Arabidopsis thaliana: one gene and its partners. The protein of the gene in region 3 interacts with the protein of the main gene of each other region in a pairwise test. Each region holds a gene or a part of one and is shown on either strand. Other genes may lie near its edges. The genes, in order: AT2G25520, CAT9, AT1G66760 and YSL3.

Region 1 (4,827 bases), on a different chromosome or scaffold from region 3:
TACTAATTTTGGTCATTATTAATATTTTTGGAAAAAATTTTATCCAACATAGGATAGTTTATATAGCCAAAGTATTTTGTTTATTTTCAAAATCTTTTTTTTTTTTTTTTCAAAATCTCATTAATATAAAACTCAAATAAAGTTATATAAACTGACAATATTAATTGTTAACAGTAAAAAAGAAAAGAAAAATGGAAGAACCGCACATAACAAGTTAGAAACACTAAAAAATATATGTACAGATCATTCATTTTGTCACAAAACTGAACAACATGTGGTTCATATAATTTTTTTATATTTAAATATAAGAAACAAGCTTTTGTTAATAAAATGACGAATGGAGAAGAAGAATATACGGTTCCTCCACATTAGCAATAGAACCATACTGTCTCCACTCTTCCATTGAAGGTAAAAAAATGTAATGGGCTCTCTCTCTAAAGAACGGTTTTTCTGGCAGAGTTCCGTCTAAGTTTCCAGTTGAATCCGGCTTTGGTATCTGGCTTATGACACGACTAATTCAGTATCTTATTTTTGTTATTTATATGAATAATGTCCACGGTTTTAATTATGGGGATGCCACTTTATACGGTGATTCGTTTAGGTGAAGGTTTTACTTCTGCTTGTACTATTGGGTCCGCGGTTGATAAATACTATCAGATATGATTGCATACTTGCATGTAACTGATAAAAATAATATTTGTTACTTTACGTATTTTGAATTACCAATTAGCCTGTATTTCAAGTAACCAGAACTACTAGTTACTAAGCAAGCAGTTGTGCACTTATTAGATCATAATAATAATAAGTACTCAATAACTAAAATCACCTTAAAACGGAAATTAAAAAAATGATCGACTTTGATGTTATCATATCCGCCACTTTTGTTTCGTTCTCTCGGGCTGAATCGTTTGTTTCGTTCTCTCTATCGTTACTAGCTCTCTGTTTCTTGTTTTGTCTCTATTCATTAACTTTGCTTCCCTTATTAGTAATTATAATTTATAAATTCTAAATGATGTCTCTGTAAAAGAGAAACAAAGTAGATAAATATTAAGGGAGAAATGTAAATGTAACTGCATAATCGGTTTGCTACAAACTTATTTTTCCCTCCTAAAATGTTTCTTTTCTTTCTTTGCAAAAGATTCATTCGCTATATGCCTGTATTGGTTAAACATTAGTAGAAGTATTTTTGCAATTGGCGTGCAGAACATGGGAAGTTAGTAGCTACTTTATATATGGCCACATGACTTCCTCGCACGTCACGTAATCGGTGAAATGCTGTCCATGTGACAGTCAGACTCTTCGTAAAACAAATGTTCCGAAAGTAGTAACTACGGATAATTTATTTATTTTTGCAAACGTTACTGTAGTTACAAAATAAATAATGTTCCTTTGTAACTTTGGCGTGGGATTTCCAAAAAGTCTCTTGTCACATGAAACGGTTTTGAAAAATTTATAATCTCACTTTGAATTTGGTATATGTATTCAGACGAATGATAAGATACCAAATTATTTTAGTCGTTTTAATTTATAGATTTATTACTAACTTTTTTTTTTGTAAATTTAAACTTTCAGATTAGGCAACACCAAATAAATGATATATTTAATAGAAAATGTATGGTCGAAAAAAAATATTGTAATGTCTCTACACCAGAAGCTTTTGTTTTGACTTTTGAGTGTTTGAATCATTTGAAGTTTTGAACAGAATAATTCCACAATCAAAACCAAATAATATTTTATCAGGCGAGCGAAAGACAAGATTTTGACAGGTATTTGTACAAGTACTGAGTCGGTCAACAAACCCCGTCTGGACTCTGGACCCGAAGTAACCCAACAAACGTTGCGACAACTACATTAGCACCACCACCAAGGCACCAATAATGCAACGTAAGAGGGACGCAGCAAAACTGTCGCGATGTGAGATTCACGCGCTCTAATTTAAACGTTGACTCTTTGTTTCATCGTTACTCTCTCCCATTTATTTACTTCGCATACTCTCTTCGTTACAAGTTTCCATTTAATTACTCTTAAGTCTCTAACTAATAGCTTTAGGGATTCGTCATTAATTTAAGGCAACGTAAACTTAAAGAGTTTCGACTAAAAGCCGTTTCAGGAAACATACATCATCACATACTTTATCTAAATAACTGGCTTATTAATTTTATAACAAAAATGACGTTATTTAGTGTTAAGATATACAAATATTTAATTTTTACTAAATTAGTTAAGGTAAAATTGTGTTCCTTTCTGTGAGTTTTCCGCAATATTAAAAAACCCTAGAGAAATTAACAAAACGTAATTGACTAAAAAAAGAGTTCAAAACAAAACATTTGTTACATTTATTTCATAATTTAAAGACTAAGTATAAATCCACTAGAAAACAGATGATTAAAAATGCGGGTCCCACAATACGCCAATCGTCAAATAATCGCGCACCTTTTCGCCACGTAGCATAACAAAGTCACGTAAGCCCTTCCTCTACATTACAAGACCAAACTCAAAGTCTCTTTCTCCCCCAAACCCAAAAACATTGACCCAAAGAGAGAGAGACTTCTATCGTGCGCACCTCTCTCTCTTAATCCTTTATCCTGCGCACCACCACCACCATCTTCTTCTCCGGCGAAAACAAACCCACCGCCATGGGGAAAGGTCGTGCACTTTCCGACGGAGTGATCAAAAAGATCATCCTTTCATACACCTATGTCGCAATCTGGATCTTCCTCAGCTTCACAGTCATCGTCTACAACAAATACATCCTCGACAAGAAGATGTATAATTGGCCATTCCCAATAACTCTCACCATGATCCACATGGGTTTTTGCTCTTCCTTAGCTGTGATTCTCATCAAAGTCTTCAAAGTCGTCGAGCCTGTTTCAATGTCACGCGAGACTTATCTCAGATCCGTCGTACCAATCGGCGCGTTGTACTCACTTTCTCTCTGGTTATCAAACTCTGCTTACATCTACCTCTCTGTTTCCTTCATTCAAATGCTCAAAGCCCTAATGCCTGTAGCAGTTTACTCAATCGGGGTTTTGTTGAAGAAAGAGACTTTCAAATCTCAGACTATGACTAACATGCTTTCGATCTCGTTTGGTGTTGCTATTGCTGCTTATGGTGAAGCTAAGTTTGATGGTTGGGGTGTTTTTCTTCAGCTTGGTGCTGTTGCTTTTGAAGCCACTAGGTTGGTTTTGATTCAGATCTTGCTTACTTCTAAAGGAATCAATCTAAATCCAATCACTTCTCTCTATTACGTTGCTCCTTGTTGTTTGGTTTTCCTCTCTGTTCCTTGGATCTTTGTGGAGTTTCCAGTTCTTAGAGATACTTCGAGTTTCCATTTCGATTTCGTGATCTTTGGAACCAATTCTGTTTGTGCGTTTGCTTTGAATCTTGCTGTGTTCTTGCTCGTTGGGAAAACCTCTGCTTTGACTATGAATGTGGCTGGTGTGGTTAAGGATTGGCTCTTGATTGCATTCTCGTGGTCGGTGATTAAGGACACGGTCACACCTATCAATCTGTTTGGTTATGGACTTGCCTTTTTGGGTGTTGGATATTACAATCACTGCAAGTTACAGGCGTTGAAGGCTAAAGATGCACAGAAGAAGGTTCAGGCAAGTGATGACGAAGCTGGGAAGCTTTTGGAAGAGAGGGAAAGTGAAGCTAAACGCAACGAAACCCAAGATTGATCTGTTCTGATTCAAGAATGCAATTTCAGGAAATAAGAGCTTCAAGGTTAGAATGATTTGGGAAGATGGATTTTGCATTTTCATAGGTATGATTATCATTGTCGGTGTTCGTTCGTCTACGTTTTAGTTTTGCGATTATATTTTTAAGTTATGGCTGATTATATTACATAGTGATGGATGGGTGTTTAATTAGAGGTTCATGAATCTTTTGAACTCCATTGTATCTTCTTCTTTTGAGTTGTATTTTGTTTCTTACTTCCTCATGAATCTATCTTTGTGGGTAACAATTGTTTTAGTAGTACTTCTTTATATTTTTTCCCTCCATTGAGATTGTTAAATGTCAAATTGAAAGTCCCTTTTACGTCTCTCTTTATCCAATGAAACCGTTGTATGTTGGAAGGCACAAGAAGATGGTCAACACCAAAAACTTTTTGATATTTTATGGGTTATGTAGGATCATTTAGTAGCAAGATCCACAATTTAAGGAAATAAACAAAATACCCATACCGACGTTCCCTTGCAATAATATGACACATGACACCATCATATGAATACAATGGTCTCATTTAACCTCTACAAATATCCTTCCTTTAGTCTCAACAAGTTTCTGTCCTGAGTAAAGGGACAGGCCAAATAGGTGTTAGATACCAAACTAAAAACATTCAAACAGGCTCACGGGTTATGGATTTCTCATCAGCGAATATTTGGGAACTTTTAACACAATTCGGATCTACTCTCGCTTGGCATAAAAGCTGTTTTGTTCCAGAACAGAATTCATAAGCATGCATTGGTGCTTGGTTTGTCACTTTGTGAAATGTGACTTTGAATAGCCATCCTACCTCTTGGCAGAATTGTTTTTGGATTTGGGTTATATCCTATCAAATTCCAAAACTTAACAAACCAGTTTTGTTTGATTTCAACTGGAATCTTATAACTAGCTCATAGTTCCTACATATCTTTTTTTTGTTTGAATCTACTACATATCAGGCAGTAGTATTCTAGACTCGGACGAAACTTTATTAGTCCAAATTAGGCTGCACCAAACGAAATGCAGATACATCATACATGTCACGGACCGGACCACATCGGGTTTGGCAGATTTGGCATCCTAGTTTTGACATCTCTACCAAACCCACTAAAGAAATCT
Region 2 (5,802 bases), about 23 Mb from region 3:
AGTGGAATACTTTCATGTTCTTCCATATGCCACTCTCATAGAAGATTGGTTTTCCAGGTTTAATTGCATCCTTTTTTTCTTCCTAAATTGTTATTCCTTAACATTACTTTGAGTTTGTTTGGTATCATTTCTAGTTTAGGGGTAGCAATATAAGTTTATTGTGCTTTTTCAGGCGAGGAGATACCGAATTTGTGATAGAGAAAGAACCAGAAGCTGTATGTGATGATATCGAAAGCAACAAAGTAGATGCAACCAAGGAGTCGGAAGTTTCCGACATTTTTGAAAGACGAGAAAAAGCTGCTTTAAAAAGGAGATATGAAATTAAAGTATGCTCTCATAATGATACTTGTATTGTATGGTTGTGTTAAGGAAAATGGTATTACAAATTAACTTAAGAATTTAAATTGCAGGCCAAAAAAGTTGCCGCTCTACTGAGCCATCCTGGAGCTAGAGGAAAAGCTACGACGAGGTTGCAAAATCGGTACTTAAAAGGAAGTATGAGTGGTGCGAAGGAACCTAATGTTCACTCGGAGACAGTAGTTGCGTTGAAGGCTAAGAATGTAGGTAATGAAATGAGCCCTTGTAAGGATAACTATTCGAATGGAGAGAAAGGTGGTTTCGAGGTGAAATCTGAAATCTACACTAACAATTATATATTCTCAATTCAATCTTCAAGTATCCTTTATCACCCTTTTGTAAATGCAGGTTGCGTCTGACCCAAAGGAACTTAAAGAAAGAGGTCTCCAGAGGAAGAAAGCTGTTCCTGACAGACTTAATAGCATTCATAAGCTTAATTCAACTCCTGCTTCTGCTCATAACTCTAATCCAAATCTTGAGGAGCTACAGACGTCTCTTCTTTCTAAAGCAACATCACTATCCGAAACTGCATTGAAAGTTCTTCTTTGCAAACGAGATAAACTGGTAATAACTGTAGAATTTGATCAAAGATACACAACACAGCAAAAAAACTGATTGGCAATAGCATATATATCCTTATTTTATGATTAAGAGCTGCTCTCTTTTTCTCTGGCTGCAGACTCGTCAACAGAGGAACATAGAAGACGAGATTGCTAAATGTGATAAATGCATCCAGAACATCAAAGGTATGTATATATACATATACTTTTCCTTTCTGCACAGCTTTGTTTTTACATGAATCTTAGTGATCTCGTGGGTGTTATAGGTGATTGGGAGCTGCAATTAGAAACAGTACTCGAGTGCTGTAACGAGACATACCCGAGGCGTAACCTTCAAGAATCTCTTGACAAGTCAGCATGCCAAAGCAACAAGAGGCTGAAGCTCAGTGAAACTCTTCCTTCTACTAAAAGTCTGTGTCAGGTTAGTTTATGGTTACTTTAATCATTTCTTGTTCAAAGAATTAAGATTCATTGCCCCTATTTATTGCAGAGACTCGATGATATCTGTCTCATGAATAACTGGGTACTACCAAACTATCGTGTGGCTCCATCAGATGGTAAAGTTTTGAGATCATTTGCCAAACTCGTAGTTCAGCTCCATTACTCCCTTCAGATTTGCATGTTGATGTTGATGCTTTGTTCAAAAAGGTGGATATGAAGCTGAAGTAAGAATCACGGGGAATCATGTCGCATGTACAATACATGGAGAGGAAAAGTCTGATGCTGAGGAAGCTAGGGAATCTGCGGCAGCTTGCTTGCTAACAAAGTTACAACACGACACAGCAGCCAACTTATCATGATTATGTGAGATTCAAGAACAACTCAGAAACCAAACTAACTTCCAGCATGAGTAGAAAACAACCCTGATTTTGATATGTATGGCCATTTTGGACGAATAGCAAGATTTGTACAAAACTCCATCCTCTGGTTGAGATTTTGAGATATATTACAAGAAGTCAAAGGTATTAACTGATGCAGAAACTAAAGTAGAACCAGAATCATGTTAAAAACCTAATCCTAAGCCTCCTGCATTTAAAACAATCCTAGAAACTCAAAAACCCAACAAAGTGCTAAAGAGGGATGAAAGAAATCCTAGTAAAAAAAAACCCTAATATTGTTAACTAGACCAAAAACCTCAACAATGGCCTGAAAGATTAGACCAATATGAATCTCAACAGACACAAGAAACTTGTCAACAACGAAAATAGGAGCTATACTGTCTCATGGCAAAACAGAGGACTCCATCGCACCTAAAGGCCCAAAGACAGATGTCGTCGCGAGCTTTCAGTTCATTAGAGGGTTATTGGGTTTAAGTGGTCTCTGTTGGGCCCAATGGTTGGCCCAATATTTATTGATTTGGATTCTGATTATCCCGGGGGTGATTTCAGTCATCGTCTCGATCAATCTTCAACTCTCAAATTGAAGTTTCCATGGGAGGCCACGAAGGTTTCAGCAACCAACGCCTCTCCTCCGCCACATGGTTCTCTCATTTCCGTGCTTCAGCTCTCCGATCTAAATCACTGCCCCCTCCGTCCTCGCAGACTGCCGTTCGCTCCACCTCTGGCGACTCTCTGGTTCGTCGCCTCGGCCTTTTCGACCTCATACTGTTGGGCGTCGGCGCTTCCATCGGCGCCGGTGTCTTCGTCGTCACCGGAACCGTCGCTCGCGATGCTGGACCTGGTCAGTTGAATGAATTACTTTTTCTCACCACCTCCTTGATTCGTTCAGAATCGCTTAGTGATTATTGCTGCCGTTGCGTGCCTAGGAGTCACAATCAGCTTCTTGCTAGCTGGAGCATCGTGTGTGTTGAACGCTCTCTGTTATGCTGAACTTTCATCTCGTTTCCCTGCTGTTGTTGGTGGAGCTTACATGTACTCTTACTCAGCTTTCAATGAGATCACAGCTTTTCTTGTTTTCGTTCAACTCATGCTTGACTATCATATTGGCGCCGCTAGTATCTCCCGTAGCTTGGCCAGCTATGCTGTTGCTCTTCTTGAGCTTTTTCCAGCCCTCAAGGGCTCTATTCCTCTCTGGATGGGAAGCGGCAAAGAGCTCTTGGGAGGGCTTCTCTCTTTGAATATTTTGGCTCCCATTTTACTTGCTCTCTTGACCCTTGTTCTATGCCAAGGTGTGCGAGAATCTTCCGCTGTCAACTCCGTTATGACTGCTACTAAGGTAAGCTTCTTTCCTTTTAACCTTCTCTTCTTATCTTTACCAAAAAAAACTCTTCTTCACTATATTGTTTCTTCTGTAGGTCGTGATCGTTCTCGTTGTGATTTGTGCCGGTGCTTTTGAAATTGATGTAGCAAATTGGTCTCCTTTTGCGCCTAATGGTTTTAAAGCAGTTCTCACTGGAGCTACTGTTGTCTTCTTTTCATATGTTGGATTTGATGCAGTTGCTAATTCTGCTGAAGAATCGAAGAACCCTCAGGTCTGCCTATATATATGTTGAATGTACATACTATCTACAAAGTCTCTTATGTCTGTTTAATTCTTGTTCAGCGCGATTTGCCAATCGGAATTATGGGGAGCCTTCTGGTTTGTATCTCGCTGTATATTGGCGTATGTTTGGTGCTCACCGGGATGGTCCCTTTTAGCCTCCTCAGCGAAGATGCTCCTTTAGCTGAAGCCTTTTCATCAAAGGGTATGAAGTTCGTCTCAATCTTAATCAGTATTGGTGCTGTTGCTGGACTCACAACTACTCTGCTTGTTGGTCTTTATGTTCAGGTGATAATATATATATATGTATTTCTTTTGTAATTTCTTTTATTATGTACTTGTATATTATGCAAACCAAGGTAACACTCTTGAGTAATCATATGATATTTCGGATAAACAGTCCAGGTTATATCTGGGACTTGGAAGGGATGGTCTATTGCCTTCAATCTTTTCCAGAATACACCCAACTCTTCATACACCTCTTCATTCTCAAATCTGGTGCGGCATTGTAGCTGGCGTTTTAGCTGGCATATTTAATGTACATAGTCTTTCCCATATTCTGTCTGTTGGTACATTGGTACGTCAAGGTCTTAATTTTAAATATCTCTTTGCTTTTCTTATTGATACTTATACTTTCCAGTTTAACATTATTTTCGGTGTTCCATTTCTTCAGACTGGGTATTCAGTTGTTGCGGCTTGTGTTGTGGCATTGAGACTGAATGATAAAAAAGATAGAGAGTCGTCCAATAGATGGACATCAAGTTGGCAGGAAGGCGTCATTTGCCTTGTTATAATTGCATGCAGTGGTTTTGGTGCTGGCGTATTTTACCGTTTCAGTGCTTCAGTTATATTTATTCTCCTCTCAGTTGGTGTGGCAGTTGTTGCTTCAGCAGTTCTTCATTATCGCCAAGTAAGTAGCCTTAAGTATAAGCCTTAATTCCATAGCACACTCTTCTTAATTTCATAGCGCCAAAAAAAATAAAATAAAAAAACCAAGTTTCACCCCTGTTAAAATGCTAGATACTAAGTCTTTTACTGATACAGCATAAAATAGAGACCACCACTAGCATGTTCTGGCACTTAGAACTCTACAGTGATACTATGAAAGTCTGTGACTATTGAAGTCTTTGCATTCTTGGTTTAGAGGAGAAGTTTGTTAACATCAATTAGGAAATATACCCTCATGGTTGTCTCCACAAATCAGGCAAATGCCTTGCTAGCTATGCTTCATGTTAAACCCCTCAGCTTTTCGCTTCCAGGCTTATGCTCTGCCTCTAGGTTCTGGGTTTAGCTGTCCTGGTGTACCCATTGTGCCATCCGTTTGCATTTTCTTCAACATCTTCTTATTTGCTCAGGTACACGCTAAGAACTAACTTTATACTAATTTCACATACCATATGATCTACCTTTGATTTTTCCGCTACTGTGCAGTTGCATTATGAAGCATGGATAAGATTTGTTGTTGTCAGTGTGCTTGCAACTGCCGTTTATGCCTTGTATGGGCAGTACCACGCAGATCCGAGCATGTTGGATTATCAGAGGGCACCTGAAACTGAAAGCGACGCTTAGTAATGCTACATTATAGTTGTGTTACTTAAAGCCATTTGTAGAGTTGATAGCAAGTTTCTGCGTTTCGTGAGAGACATACTGTATGTCACATACATATTCAGGTCGAGTTTAAGGATTGGATGGGATAAGGCAGTTAAACATTATTGTTGTAAAGAAGTTAATAAAAGTATGCTTGTGCATTTCAACTAAAGCCTTGAATGACTGAAAATGGCTTTTGTGCTACCAAATAATCCCAGAAGCTAGCAATGTTCACATAAACATACTCAATGTTAGAGTTATTCAACGGATCATAGTATAGAATCAGAAACAACAAGCTTACTAATAACAGACATCCAAACCCTCTAGCATTGTAGTAAGACCAAAACCCTCTAGAATTGCCCCAACTTAGCCGGCTGTACAAATGAAGATCAATCTCCACAGAGACAAGAAGCTTAGCAGAGACGGCGAGCATTGGAAGAGCTACTCTGTCTCAATGTAAGAGGAGGAACAAGAGCAAAACAGAGGATTCCACGCCACCTGAAAGACCAAAGACTGATGTCTTTCTGATTTACCCCTCTCGGTGACACCACACGCCTCTTGGGGCTCGTGGTCTCCCGTTAGACACAAAGATGGAGTCTTCTTGGACTCGGCAATGTAGTTTTGAAGAAGGTTAAAGAAAAAGGCGATGAAGAAGAAGTGGAAGCCCCATTAAGATTTTGTTGTGAATGAAAACTGAAAAGAGTGACTTTGTTGTTTTATATAGTTCGTTAATCCGTTCTGATTTACTTCGTTTTCCTCTTATAATAACTCTAAAGGTATAATCTTTTCTTTTTCTTTTCTTGAAAGCATTATTTAGAGAGTGTATTGTATTAAGCATGAAACAGAGACTGTGCTAAGC
Region 3 (5,197 bases):
ATTGCAATTCTATTCTTACTATTTTAATGTATTGACCAATAAAAAAAAGTTGTATAATATATTAATAAGAGATAAACAAAAAAAATGTTTTTACTATATGTGAAGAACCTGTAAATGACATTGTGAATACATATATTCTCGGTTATAACTTTTAACTTTATAAGTTATACATTTCTTTCTTTTCACAATAAGTGTCGTTTTAGTGTTAAAATTTTATTTCAAAATAAGTATTGTTATTATTTTTAGTGTAGATATTTGGTAAATATTCAATTTTAATGTATTGACCAATTATAAAAAATTGTATAATATATTAATAAGCGATAGACAAAAAAATCTAATTGTTTTTTTACTATATGTGAAGAACCTGTAAATGACATTTATACTAAAACGTAAAAAGTATGTATGATATATTGAATCAAAAATAATACTAGTAATCAGTAGTTAAGTTACATCTATTTTGTTAACGAAATAGTAAAAAAAAATGTCATTAAGAGACGGATTTATTATTGATATCAAGTAGAGCAAAATTTGTTTGTTTAGAAACACAAACAAAATCTTAACTTTGGCGGTTTAGTCTGACTAATTTCAAATTTATGTTGTGGAGTATATAAAGTCGATAGTACTTTTTAACAATGATTTTGAAAACTAAAACTTTATGTTATTGGAGTATTATCATGGATTGGAGTTTTTGTCAATGAATTAACATGGAGATGTGGATTAGGTTAGGTTCATCGAGATATGTATTTAAAGTTGAAACATGTGTTTTATTATTATTCTTTTCATTTATTTATTTTTTTCTTTCTGTCGGTCAGTATTGAAACATGTGTTTAGTTTCATTTGTCCTCTCAGGCCTCAGCATGTCTAGTCTAGGAGTATTCTTTATGTTTCAAAATATAAGAGGTTTTAGTTAAATATGCAGATTAAGAAATATCCATTTTTAAAAAAATTCAACCATTCATAAAAATATCATATAATATAAATAATTATAAAATATTAAATTAATCTATAGTTATGTTACACAATTTACATAAATCACGCTGTCATGAGTAGTCTTTTTCATATATCATCTATTGACAAAATAACAATTTATCTTGTTGTTCTTTTGAAAACTAGCTATTACTACATATATTATACATTTTTTTTCTCATAAGTGGTTTAACGCTGACAAAAAAAATCTATTGTAAGATGGTAACCACTGAAAGCCATCTTAGGTTCAATACTTAAATAAATGATATGATATTAAAAATATTGATCATGGACCGATGTTTATCGATTTGAGCCAATGCAATCAATACGAAGAGAGACTTTTATTCCTTATTCTTTAGAAATGTATATCTCATTTTATGACTAATTAAATAATAACTGATGATCAGTATGTGGTTCTATACATTTAAAAATCTTCTAATTCAGTTTTTTTTTTTTTTTTGGTATCGATGTTAAGTATTTATACCGTTTTCAAGTTTGAGACAGAATACAGAGTAAACAATAGAAGCAAAAAAAAAAAAAAAAAAAAAAAAAGGGAGAAAGACTACGACTAAAGGAACTACGAATACAAGAGATAACACGATAAGAAACACAAAGCGAAGCAACTAGTAAAGGCTTGAAGAGGAAACACCGATTCTAATTCAGTTTTCATATCTGTTTGATACTCTTAAGGTATTATATTGTTCTGTGTTCCAGTTCTATCTCATGCTAATCAAAAATATTGTTAATACCACTCTTGCCTTTTTCAAGAACCGACATGATTTTTAAGTTTTAACCACAAATGTATTTGATTGGTAAAAGGTTCTAAAAAGTTTCAACAACTCACAAAGCCTTAAAACTGAACCATTCATGTTTTACTTTTCTTTTTAAGGCTATACAACCAAAACAAACTTTATGTTGTCTAATTAATTTCTCTGGCATAAAAAAAAAAAAAGACTCCACAACTAAAATCTTTTAAGTACAAACTACAAATAGGAACCAATTATTAGTTACTAGTTAGGATGCATCTTCTTCTTACACGTGCTGAATTCTATCTTTTGACTTAAATGAGTGAGATGATAAAAGTCGAAAACGATTTCGCTTTTATACGCGGAAGCGGAAACGTGTTTATTTTCTTTTCTTCGAGTCGCGACGTCGCATATATTATTTATCAAAATACAAATTTTATTATATCAAAATCATAAAGCTAAATAAATACGACACAACTTCCAACATTTTCTCTAACCAGAAAGAAAAAAAAAATGAAGAAGAGTATCGAAACTCCGTTATTGTTGAACACCAAACAATCACAAGACGAAGATAAAGAAAAAATAAGATGGGAGAAGATGAAGAAAGTTGCTTCAATGGCTGCTCCAATGGTCGCCGTGAACATGTCTCAATACCTTCTTCAAGCAACTTCTACAATGATCGTCGGTCACCGGAGCGAACTCGCTCTCGCCGGAATCGCTCTAGGAAGCTCCTTTGCTAATGTTACCGGCTTTGGTGTTCTTGTAAGCAAGTATATGAACCTTTATATATATATATGTATTGGATTAATTTGTTTCTAATTATTGTTGTATACTATATAGTTTGGACTTTCAGGTTCATTGGAAACACTATGTGGTCAAGCATATGGAGCAAAACAATATCACAAGCTTGGATCTTACACTTTCACTTCAATAGTTTTCCTTTTGATTATCTCTGTTCCGATTTCGATTCTTTGGATGTTCATGAACCAGATCTTGCTGTTGCTTCATCAAGATCCTCAAATAGCAGAGTTAGCTGGTGTGTACTGTCTCTGGCTGGTACCAGCTTTATTCGGTTACTCTGTTCTCGAGTCGTTGGTTCGATATTTTCAGTCACAAAGCTTGATTTATCCAATGGTCTTGAGCTCTCTAGCTGCTCTGTCTTTCCATGTTCCTCTCTGTTGGCTAATGGTTCATAAATTTGATTTTGGAGCCAAAGGAGCGGCTGCGTCTATCGGTATCTCTTACTGGCTCAACGCGGTTTTTCTTTGGGTTTATATGAAACGCTCTAGTCGTTGTGTCGAAACGCGGATTTATATGTCCAAGGATGTTTTTGTTCATACAAATATCTTCTTTCAATTTGCCATTCCTTCTGCAATGATGTGTTGGTAAGTATGTACAACTTTATTAAAAATCCATATAGAATTAACCAAGTGATGGTAGTCTAGTGGTGGTCATTGTTTTGTGGATAGGTGAAAGATTTAAAATCTTAGGTTACATAAATAAATGTGTAATGGATTTTTTTTCCCTTCACTAATATTCTATTGACACTTATTTTCTTATTGCTCTTGCTTCCTTCAATAGCCTTGAGTGGTTAGCTTTCGAGGTCATTACTTTGCTGTCTGGTCTTCTACCCAACTCAAAGCTCGAAACATCGGTTATTTCGATTTGGTAATGTATCGAACCGCAAAACTATATAATCTGTGATACTTATATTTTCTTTCATTTTCTAAGCCTTAATTTTTGGGATTGAGCAGCCTCACGACCTCTTCATTGCATTACAATCTAGTAAATGGAATTGGTGATGCAGCAAGGTTTGTTCTTACTTTAATACTCTTACATCGAATTTTCACTTCATTTTATTTTCGAAGAATTAATGTTTCATTTTTTTTTGTTTCGTTGGTTAGCACCAATGTGGCTAATGAGCTAGGAGCTGGGAATCCGCGAGGGGCTCGTGATTCTGCTGCGGCTGCAATCATAATTGCAGCTGTTGAGTCAGTTATTGTGAGCTCTAGTCTGTTCTTGTCTCGCAGTGTGTGGCCTTATGCATATAGCAATGTGGAGGAAGTAATTAGTTATGTGACTGATATCACTCCTATTCTTTGTATCTCAATCCTCATGGACAGCTTCTTGACCGTCCTCTCCGGTTAGCCTTTCTTAACACGCATCTCCGGTTTTGCAACCATGTTATTATTTTTTTGTGAACGTGAACCGAATATATGTTTTGTTTTGTTTAGGGATTGTGAGAGGAACAGGGTGGCAAAAAATTGGAGCTTATGTGAACATAACCTCTTATTATGTCATTGGTATTCCTGTTGGACTTCTATTGTGTTTTCATCTTCACTTCAATGGGAAAGGACTTTGGGCTGGTTTAGTCACAGGATCAACATTACAAACTCTAATCCTATTTCTTGTTATTGGATTTACCAATTGGAGCAAAGAGGTGATTGTAACCGCGTAACTCGCTTTTTTCTGTTTCTAATCCATCATTCGATTTTTCGAGAAATCGAGCTAATATTTGTTTACACATTTTTTCTTCAATGAAATTTTGCAGGCAATTAAGGCTAGGGAGAGAATTGGTGATGAGAAAGTTTGGAGACATGACTCATTGCTTAATTGAAGAAAAAAAGAAATACAAACTTTTGGGGGATTTTGATTGCTTCTTTTTTTGTGTGTGTTTGTGCAATAACCTTCAGTTGATTGTAATTTATATTGAAAGTACATTATAGTCTTTCATATGATATTAGAGTGTAAGAAAGTTTGAAAATATATCTCAGTTAAAAAATGATCTGGTATATAATAGATGAATTAAAGAGTGACCAAAGTTGATTGGTTCAAGCTTAAAACTTCTATACTATAAAGTCTATAATACAACTTTACGTGGCCAAAAAACAAATAATGAACCAAAGAGAGAGTATCTTGAAAGGATATACTCAAAGAATTAAAGAAGTCAAAAAGCAAATTTGAATACTTTCTCCGACAAGAGATGCTCATAAGAGTCAAGGTGAGTAGGTAATTGTTATGGCAGAAAACACGTGGAAGCAACGACACGTCATACATAATATTGAAGATTAACAAAAAGTTAAATTAAATCAACATCAATCCAAGAAACAAAAATGTATGGACTTGCAAAATCAGTTATACAATGAGGTGAATCCAGCCTCGCAGAAGTCCATGTTCAAGTCCAGTTTTGCACCAATATAGTATATTGGTTTCATGGACGTAAGAGTCTTGTCAAATGAATCCAGCCGCGCATCAGTCCATGTTCAAGTCCAGTTTTGCACCAGTAAATTGGTTTCACGAACGTGAGAGTCTTGTTAAATGAATCTAGCCTCGCTTCAGTCCATGTTCAAGTTCAGTTTTGCATCAAGATATTGATTTCATGAACGTAAGAGTCTTGTCATGGAACTCCTAACAATAAATAGATTGACCCATATCATTTTTATATTACGTTCTCGGTTACATCACACTTTTAATGTTGGATTCCT
Region 4 (6,349 bases), on a different chromosome or scaffold from region 3:
CATATTTTTAAAAAAAATATAGGAAAAGAAAAGTAAAGTTCGTACAAAAGAGAGTAGTATTATTCTCTTTTTCTTCTCCATAGGGCCTCGTAATATCTACTTAGCATACGAGGACACATTAATATTCGATCATGTATATATATGCCTACGACTACGAGACATTCGAAAGTTATTGTCTAGTGGTTTGTATTCACACAATTTCCGTGTTAACAGTTTTAGTTCCATTTCCTTCATATAGAGATCTAAATGATACTACTACATATCATTTAGTTTAAGGAAGGACGATGTAAGAAAATAAAAATCTAATATACGAGAGAATTGTAACACGTTCACTTCATAACTAGCTAGCTAGTGGTACTTACCAGTTACTACCCCAACTCTAGTCAACACTACATTAAATACTATAATGTGAACAAAATTATTTTGAACCAACGGCTGTTACAGTAGTTTATTCAACTTTATCAACCAATGCATTAAATTGAACATATTTCTGGCCGATTGAAATAGGTTGGGAACGATCTTATAAAATTCAGTCTTAAACAAGTCTTGGTTTTCAAAAATGCAAATTCATTCGTATGTTCTTGGCAAAAAATGGTTTAATTGGTTTGATCTGATCTTATCCTATCACGCAGGATTGGTGTAATATAACGCACCAAATTCGGCCAGGAAACGTCCGAATATAATAGTCCAATTCTACTTATGAATTTGACGTGTTGACGTAAAGAATCAAAAGTCGAACTTATTGAATAATTTATTCGACTTTAATTTTCTTTTGGGGTTTTGGTATGTTTGTGACCACATGGTATGGAGTTGACATTTACCATTTTCTTGATTGACTACCTAAGAAAATTTTAATTATTATTCACATTATGGAGAGTTATGTTTCCATATTTTGGCTTTAATATTAATCATGTGGTCAATAAAATAAAGAGGATAGTTATGGCATAAGATTGTCCATAATGTCATCATCTTGTTTAGTAAAAGACAGTCACATGAACCGGAATCTCGGTTTACCAAACTTTTCACTTTTTCAGTTTCACATGAATGTCACCAGATTCATTGAGTTAAACATGTATTTTAATACTATAAAAGGTTAATTAGTTATGATATCATATTTATGACTTTTAAAAGACTTTTGATATTGTAATCTGTAACTAGTTATAAGTTAACCATCTCTTATAATTAGAACAAAAAAAAACTTAATTATGGATGAACTGATTTTAATGGAAAAAATATTTAGAAATAGAAATACATTCATAATTTATATCTAAGTCTAACCAAAACACAAATCTAAAGTTACGAATAAATCATTTCAAGTGTAATTTTACTAACTATTTGACTCCTAATCTTATTTCATCACCTAAACTCCTAATTGTTATATATTTATGAGAGATAATGACATTTGTTCCTCTACATACTAATCTAATGGTTGAATAGTCATGTGTTTGACAAACTTATAAAGTTTGATTTTTCGTATGTGACATTTAGTTATACATCCATAAATTATATAACTTTCTTAGTGAGATATATGAAGGTTATATATGTGGAGTATATTCTTAATAATTAATTGTTACCCTACTTTTTTTCTTTTCGGTGACGTAACTTTTATAAAGTTTAACCCCTTAATGATTATTGTACTACATAAACCCCAAAACTCTTTTCTCTTTTCTTTTTTCTTTGTGTAGTACTGATATCAAGTCAACGTGCGGTACATAAGAACCCAAGATCCCATAAATAAATTCTTCTTGGTTTTAAGCTTTCTTCTTCATCTCTACTTCTCTATATAACTTTGAGTAGTCTCACCAAAGTCCATTTTTAAAAAATCAACTATACCATTTTTAGCTATTCTTTGGTCTTCGTTTCGTGTAAGCATTCAATGTTTTTTTTCTTTTATCTCTTTGGGAAACGGGAGTGTGGTCTTCGTGTGTGTGTCCCTGTTTCATTAACCAGTTACGTTTCATTCTCTTCTTTTCTTACGTTTACTACAGATTTCAGAAAGAAAAAAAAGTGTTTGAAGCAAAAGAGATTAATGGCAGATTCTTGAGTCATTAACTTTTTTCTAATTCTTTTAATTAGATCTCTGAACATAAGAGATAACTTGCGTCATTATTCTATGGTTATAAAGATTATGCACTTGATTAAAATAATCTCTAGTTTTCCTTTTTCTCATTTGCTAAGCAACTGTTTCTTTTTCTTCTTCTTCTTCTTCTTCAGATAATTATGCTTGGGAGTGGAAAGCAAGAAAAATTCTAAACTTTATATAAAATTCCCAGAATCAATTGATCCAAAAAGAGGTACCATTTTTTTCCTCTCGTCATTTTCCATAAAAGTAAGCTTTTGATTGATATTTAATTATTAAAAGAATCTGTCTTTTGGGTTTTTGTTTTGACAAATTTTTGTTTTTTCAGTATTGTCAAAAAAGATAATCAAGAAGAAGAAACTCTGTTTTTTTGTTCTGTTCTTGGAAAAAAATGAGGAGTATGATGATGGAGAGAGAGGGAAGGAATGAGATAGAAAGAGAAGTAATAGATGACTTGGAAGAGACGCAAAACGAAGGAGATGATTTCAAGTCAATACCTCCATGGAAGGAACAAATCACTTTCAGAGGAATTGTTGCAAGTTTAATCATTGGTATAATCTACAGTGTGATCGTGATGAAACTAAACCTAACAACAGGTTTGGTCCCAAACCTAAATGTCTCTGCAGCACTTTTAGCCTTTGTCTTCCTTAGAAGCTGGACCAAGCTGTTGACCAAAGCCGGGATTGTGACTAAACCGTTCACTAAACAAGAGAACACTGTTGTCCAAACATGTGCTGTTGCTTGTTACAGCATTGCAGTTGGAGGTTCAGTGAATTTTGACCAGTTGTTTTGACTGTTTGATCAGTTTTTGTTTGGGGTTGGATCATTGTTTTGAGCTATGTGTTTGTGTGATTTGCAGGTGGGTTTGGTTCATACCTTCTTGGTTTGAACAGAATTACTTATGAACAGTCAGGAGGAACTCACACTGATGGGAATTATCCGGAAGGCACGAAAGAGCCTGGAATCGGTTGGATGACCGCTTTCTTGTTCTTTACTTGCTTTGTTGGTCTTTTAGCATTGGTTCCTCTAAGAAAGGTAGAGATTATTTAAGATTCTGTCTCATTGAATTTGTAGTTAGAGATGTTGCGGTAGGCCAAAGTTTGCGGGTCAGTCCGGCCCATATAAGTGTGATATGGGCCTGGCCAAACCCGCTATAGCCAACATAGGACGGAGATTAATATTGGCCAAGTTTGGACTATTAATCCCCTGTTGGCTGGTTTGGGTCTACATTGCTAAGTGTTCATTATGCTTCTTTTTTTGGTTAACCAGATCATGATCATAGACTACAAGCTGACATATCCAAGTGGAACAGCTACCGCGGTTTTGATCAACGGTTTCCACACTCCTAAAGGCAATAAAATGGCCAAGTATTAACTCGATTTTTTGGCAGTCTCTTAGCTCTCTTTCACCACTAATTCTAGAGTTTTTGATTTAAATAAAATCTGTTTATATGCAGGAAACAAGTGTTTGGGTTTGTGAAGTACTTCTCATTTAGCTTCATTTGGGCTTTCTTCCAATGGTTCTTCTCTGGTGGTACAGAGTGCGGTTTCATTCAGTTTCCAACTTTCGGGTTAGAAGCTTTGAAGAACACGTGAGTATTATTCTTAGTTCTATTGACTGTTTATATATCAACAGATAGAAACAGAATCTTGATGATCTTGAAAAAACTTGACAGATTCTACTTCGACTTTAGCATGACATACGTTGGAGCAGGAATGATCTGTCCCCATATTGTCAATATATCTTTGCTTTTTGGCGCGGTTCTGTCTTGGGGAATCATGTGGCCACTCATTAAAGGTCTTAAAGGAGATTGGTTCCCATCAACTCTTCCTGAAAACAGCATGAAGAGTCTCAATGGTTACAAGGTTCCATACAAAAAACACTAGTACTCTACAATAAACTCCGCCCTTTCTTTCGCGTACTTTCGTTCTTAATTTGTTCATAACTCTTTAGGTGTTTATATCAATCTCATTGATCCTCGGAGACGGGCTTTACCAATTCATCAAGATACTTTTTAAGACAGGAATAAACATGTACGTCAAGTTAAACAATCGCAACTCTGGGAAATCTAGTAAGTATACACCAAAAAAACTATAGAAAAATCGTCATTTCAATAATGTATTATCTGATGTTCAAACGTAAATCGCAGATTCGGAGAAAGATAAGCAATCTATTGCAGATCTTAAAAGAGATGAGATCTTTGTAAGAGACAGCATTCCATTATGGGTTGCAGCAGTAGGATACGCAGCGTTCTCTGTTGTCTCGATCATCGCGATCCCTATAATGTTCCCCGAGCTGAAATGGTACTTCATAGTCGTAGCTTACATGTTAGCTCCATCGTTAGGTTTCAGTAACGCTTATGGAGCAGGGCTAACAGATATGAACATGGCTTATAACTATGGTAAAGTCGCTCTGTTTATCTTAGCCGCTATGGCAGGGAAACAAAATGGTGTAGTCGCGGGACTTGTCGGATGCGGGTTGATAAAATCGATTGTATCGATTTCTTCTGACCTAATGCACGATTTCAAGACAGGACATTTGACTCTGACTTCACCTAGGTCGATGCTTGTGAGTCAAGCGATCGGTACAGCGATCGGATGCGTTGTGGCGCCTCTAACTTTCTTCTTGTTTTATAAAGCTTTCGATGTCGGGAACCAGGAGGGAGAGTACAAAGCTCCTTACGCTTTGGTATACAGAAACATGGCAATTCTTGGAGTTGAAGGTTTCTCTGCTTTGCCTCAACATTGTTTACAGCTTTGTTACGGGTTTTTCGCATTCGCGGTGGCGGCAAATCTCGTTAGGGATAGGTTACCGGATAAGATAGGGAATTGGGTTCCATTACCGATGGCAATGGCGGTTCCGTTTCTTGTTGGAGGGTACTTTGCTATTGATATGTGTGTGGGAAGTTTGATTGTGTTTGCTTGGAATATGAGAGATCGAGTTAAAGCCGGTTTAATGGTACCGGCGGTTGCTTCCGGTTTGATATGTGGAGATGGTCTATGGATTTTGCCGTCGTCGGTTCTTGCTTTGGCCGGCGTTAGACCTCCTATATGTATGGGCTTCATGCCGAGTAAATATTCGAGTTAAAGATAGCTTTTTACGAGTTTTTACTTTTTTGTGTAGCGACAAAAAAATTAGCTAAAGAATTGTGGAAACAAAAAAAACAGTTTATATAGGAATTGTACTTTGTAAGTTTGTATACACAATAAAGTAATAAACTAGTCTCTCAATTCTATTTAAAAATCCATGTCCCAAGTAACTTCTCCCCAAAAAGAAACTCAATATTTTAGAATAAGGTCAAATGGAATTAAATTCCAGAAGATATTTGCCAAAATAGTGATAAAAATACGGTTAAATTGGTATATGTTTTTACTGACAAAAGGCAAGATTCTTCTATTTTAAGATTTATTTCTTTCTTTGAAATCTGCTAAACGTTGTTAGATCACACTTTATGTGTCTGTTTTTTTTTTTGTCAATTCAGCACACGTCATATTTGTATTTTTCAAAGTACCAAACGTGGACCAAAATAAAATCTCGTCAAAAATGGAAACCAAATTTTAATTTGATTTGCACAAAGCCCAATTTGATTTGTTTAAAGTCAAAGCCCAACTTGACCAAAACTACCCCTGCTCATCCAAACCCTAAGCAAAATATCGAGGGTAGTTTCGTATTTTGTTTATATTGAACACAATTAAGTAGGTGAGGAACCTCTATTTCTTCCGTCTTCTGCTGATTTCTGAGCTTCGGAGCTATCGAAAATTCTGAATCTGAAAGGGTAAAGATCCCATCTTTTTCCAAAAATCGATAAGGGAATTAGTATATTCGTTCATTCATCATCGTTCTGATGATTTCGATTTGAATCTGTATCTAGTACTCTGTATTATCAGAAATTTTGATTAGTAGCTTTGATGTGTTCTTGTTTTGCAGTTTGAGTGAAGATGTCTTCAGATCGGAAGGTTCTAAGTTTTGAAGAAGTTTCAAAGCACAACAAAACTAAGGATTGTTGGCTTATTATTTCCGGCAAGGTTAGATCTTGTCTCTTTGTTTGAGAACATCTCTGTTTTTTGACGAACTTAGTTCTCTTCCGCCATTGATTTGTGTCAAAGCTTCGATTTTAAAGTTGTAGAGTTGGATTGTTACTGTTAGAAGCTTTAATCGAGCCCCTCGTAGATTTAGTTGATTCTATGTTAATTCACACTAGAGAAACAGAGTTTGTGTCTACTACTTGGTTATGATCTGTGATTGTTGCGTTCTTTAGGTGTATGATGT

The links.
Region 1: the proteins of AT1G66760 (region 3) and AT2G25520 interact in a two-hybrid assay, tested with the Arabidopsis thaliana proteins (one large-scale study listed by BioGRID).
Region 2: the proteins of AT1G66760 (region 3) and CAT9 interact in a protein complementation assay, tested with the Arabidopsis thaliana proteins (one large-scale study listed by BioGRID).
Region 4: the proteins of AT1G66760 (region 3) and YSL3 interact in a protein complementation assay, tested with the Arabidopsis thaliana proteins (one large-scale study listed by BioGRID).

Annotation. Positions count from the first base shown.
Region 1 is NC_003071.7:10,858,314-10,863,140, forward strand, and holds AT2G25520 (Drug/metabolite transporter superfamily protein), read left to right. Parts: upstream 1-2,354; 5' UTR 2,355-2,636; coding exon 2,637-3,680; 3' UTR 3,681-4,097; downstream 4,098-4,827. Other genes in the region: AT2G25530 (AFG1-like ATPase family protein), read left to right, coding at 4,746-4,827.
Region 2 is NC_003070.9:1,800,488-1,806,289, reverse strand, and holds CAT9 (cationic amino acid transporter 9), read left to right. Parts: upstream 1-2,289; 5' UTR 2,290-2,347; coding exon 2,348-2,597; exon of another isoform or gene 2,598-2,682; coding exon 2,683-3,092; intron 3,093-3,171; coding exon 3,172-3,348; intron 3,349-3,419; coding exon 3,420-3,644; intron 3,645-3,756; coding exon 3,757-3,933; intron 3,934-4,029; coding exon 4,030-4,266; coding exon of another isoform or gene 4,267-4,293; exon of another isoform or gene 4,294-4,615; coding exon 4,616-4,711; coding exon of another isoform or gene 4,712-4,729; exon of another isoform or gene 4,730-4,787; coding exon 4,788-4,925; 3' UTR 4,926-5,180; downstream 5,181-5,802. Other genes in the region: AT1G05950 (uncharacterized protein), read left to right, coding at 1-57, 173-326, 411-623, 706-921, 1,037-1,103, 1,184-1,338, 1,408-1,474, 1,566-1,717; AT1G05930 (B3 domain protein (DUF313)), read right to left, coding at 5,357-5,441. UniProt on the Arabidopsis thaliana protein: Permease involved in the transport of the cationic amino acids.
Region 3 is NC_003070.9:24,899,885-24,905,081, forward strand, and holds AT1G66760 (MATE efflux family protein), read left to right. Parts: upstream 1-1,997; 5' UTR 1,998-2,225; coding exon 2,226-2,474; exon of another isoform or gene 2,475-2,552; coding exon 2,553-3,097; intron 3,098-3,293; coding exon 3,294-3,380; intron 3,381-3,466; coding exon 3,467-3,523; intron 3,524-3,616; coding exon 3,617-3,855; coding exon of another isoform or gene 3,856-3,860; exon of another isoform or gene 3,861-3,946; coding exon 3,947-4,152; coding exon of another isoform or gene 4,153-4,170; exon of another isoform or gene 4,171-4,263; coding exon 4,264-4,329; 3' UTR 4,330-4,559; downstream 4,560-5,197.
Region 4 is NC_003076.8:21,753,610-21,759,958, forward strand, and holds YSL3 (YELLOW STRIPE like 3), read left to right. Parts: upstream 1-1,641; 5' UTR 1,642-2,116; exon of another isoform or gene 2,117-2,214; 5' UTR 2,215-2,294; intron 2,295-2,383; exon of another isoform or gene 2,384-2,408; 5' UTR 2,409-2,471; coding exon 2,472-2,844; exon of another isoform or gene 2,845-2,939; coding exon 2,940-3,115; intron 3,116-3,349; coding exon 3,350-3,447; intron 3,448-3,536; coding exon 3,537-3,671; intron 3,672-3,755; coding exon 3,756-3,945; intron 3,946-4,033; coding exon 4,034-4,151; intron 4,152-4,229; coding exon 4,230-5,167; 3' UTR 5,168-5,324; downstream 5,325-6,349. Other genes in the region: CB5-E (cytochrome B5), read left to right, coding at 6,019-6,105, 6,339-6,349. UniProt on the Arabidopsis thaliana protein: May be involved in the lateral transport of nicotianamine-chelated metals in the vasculature.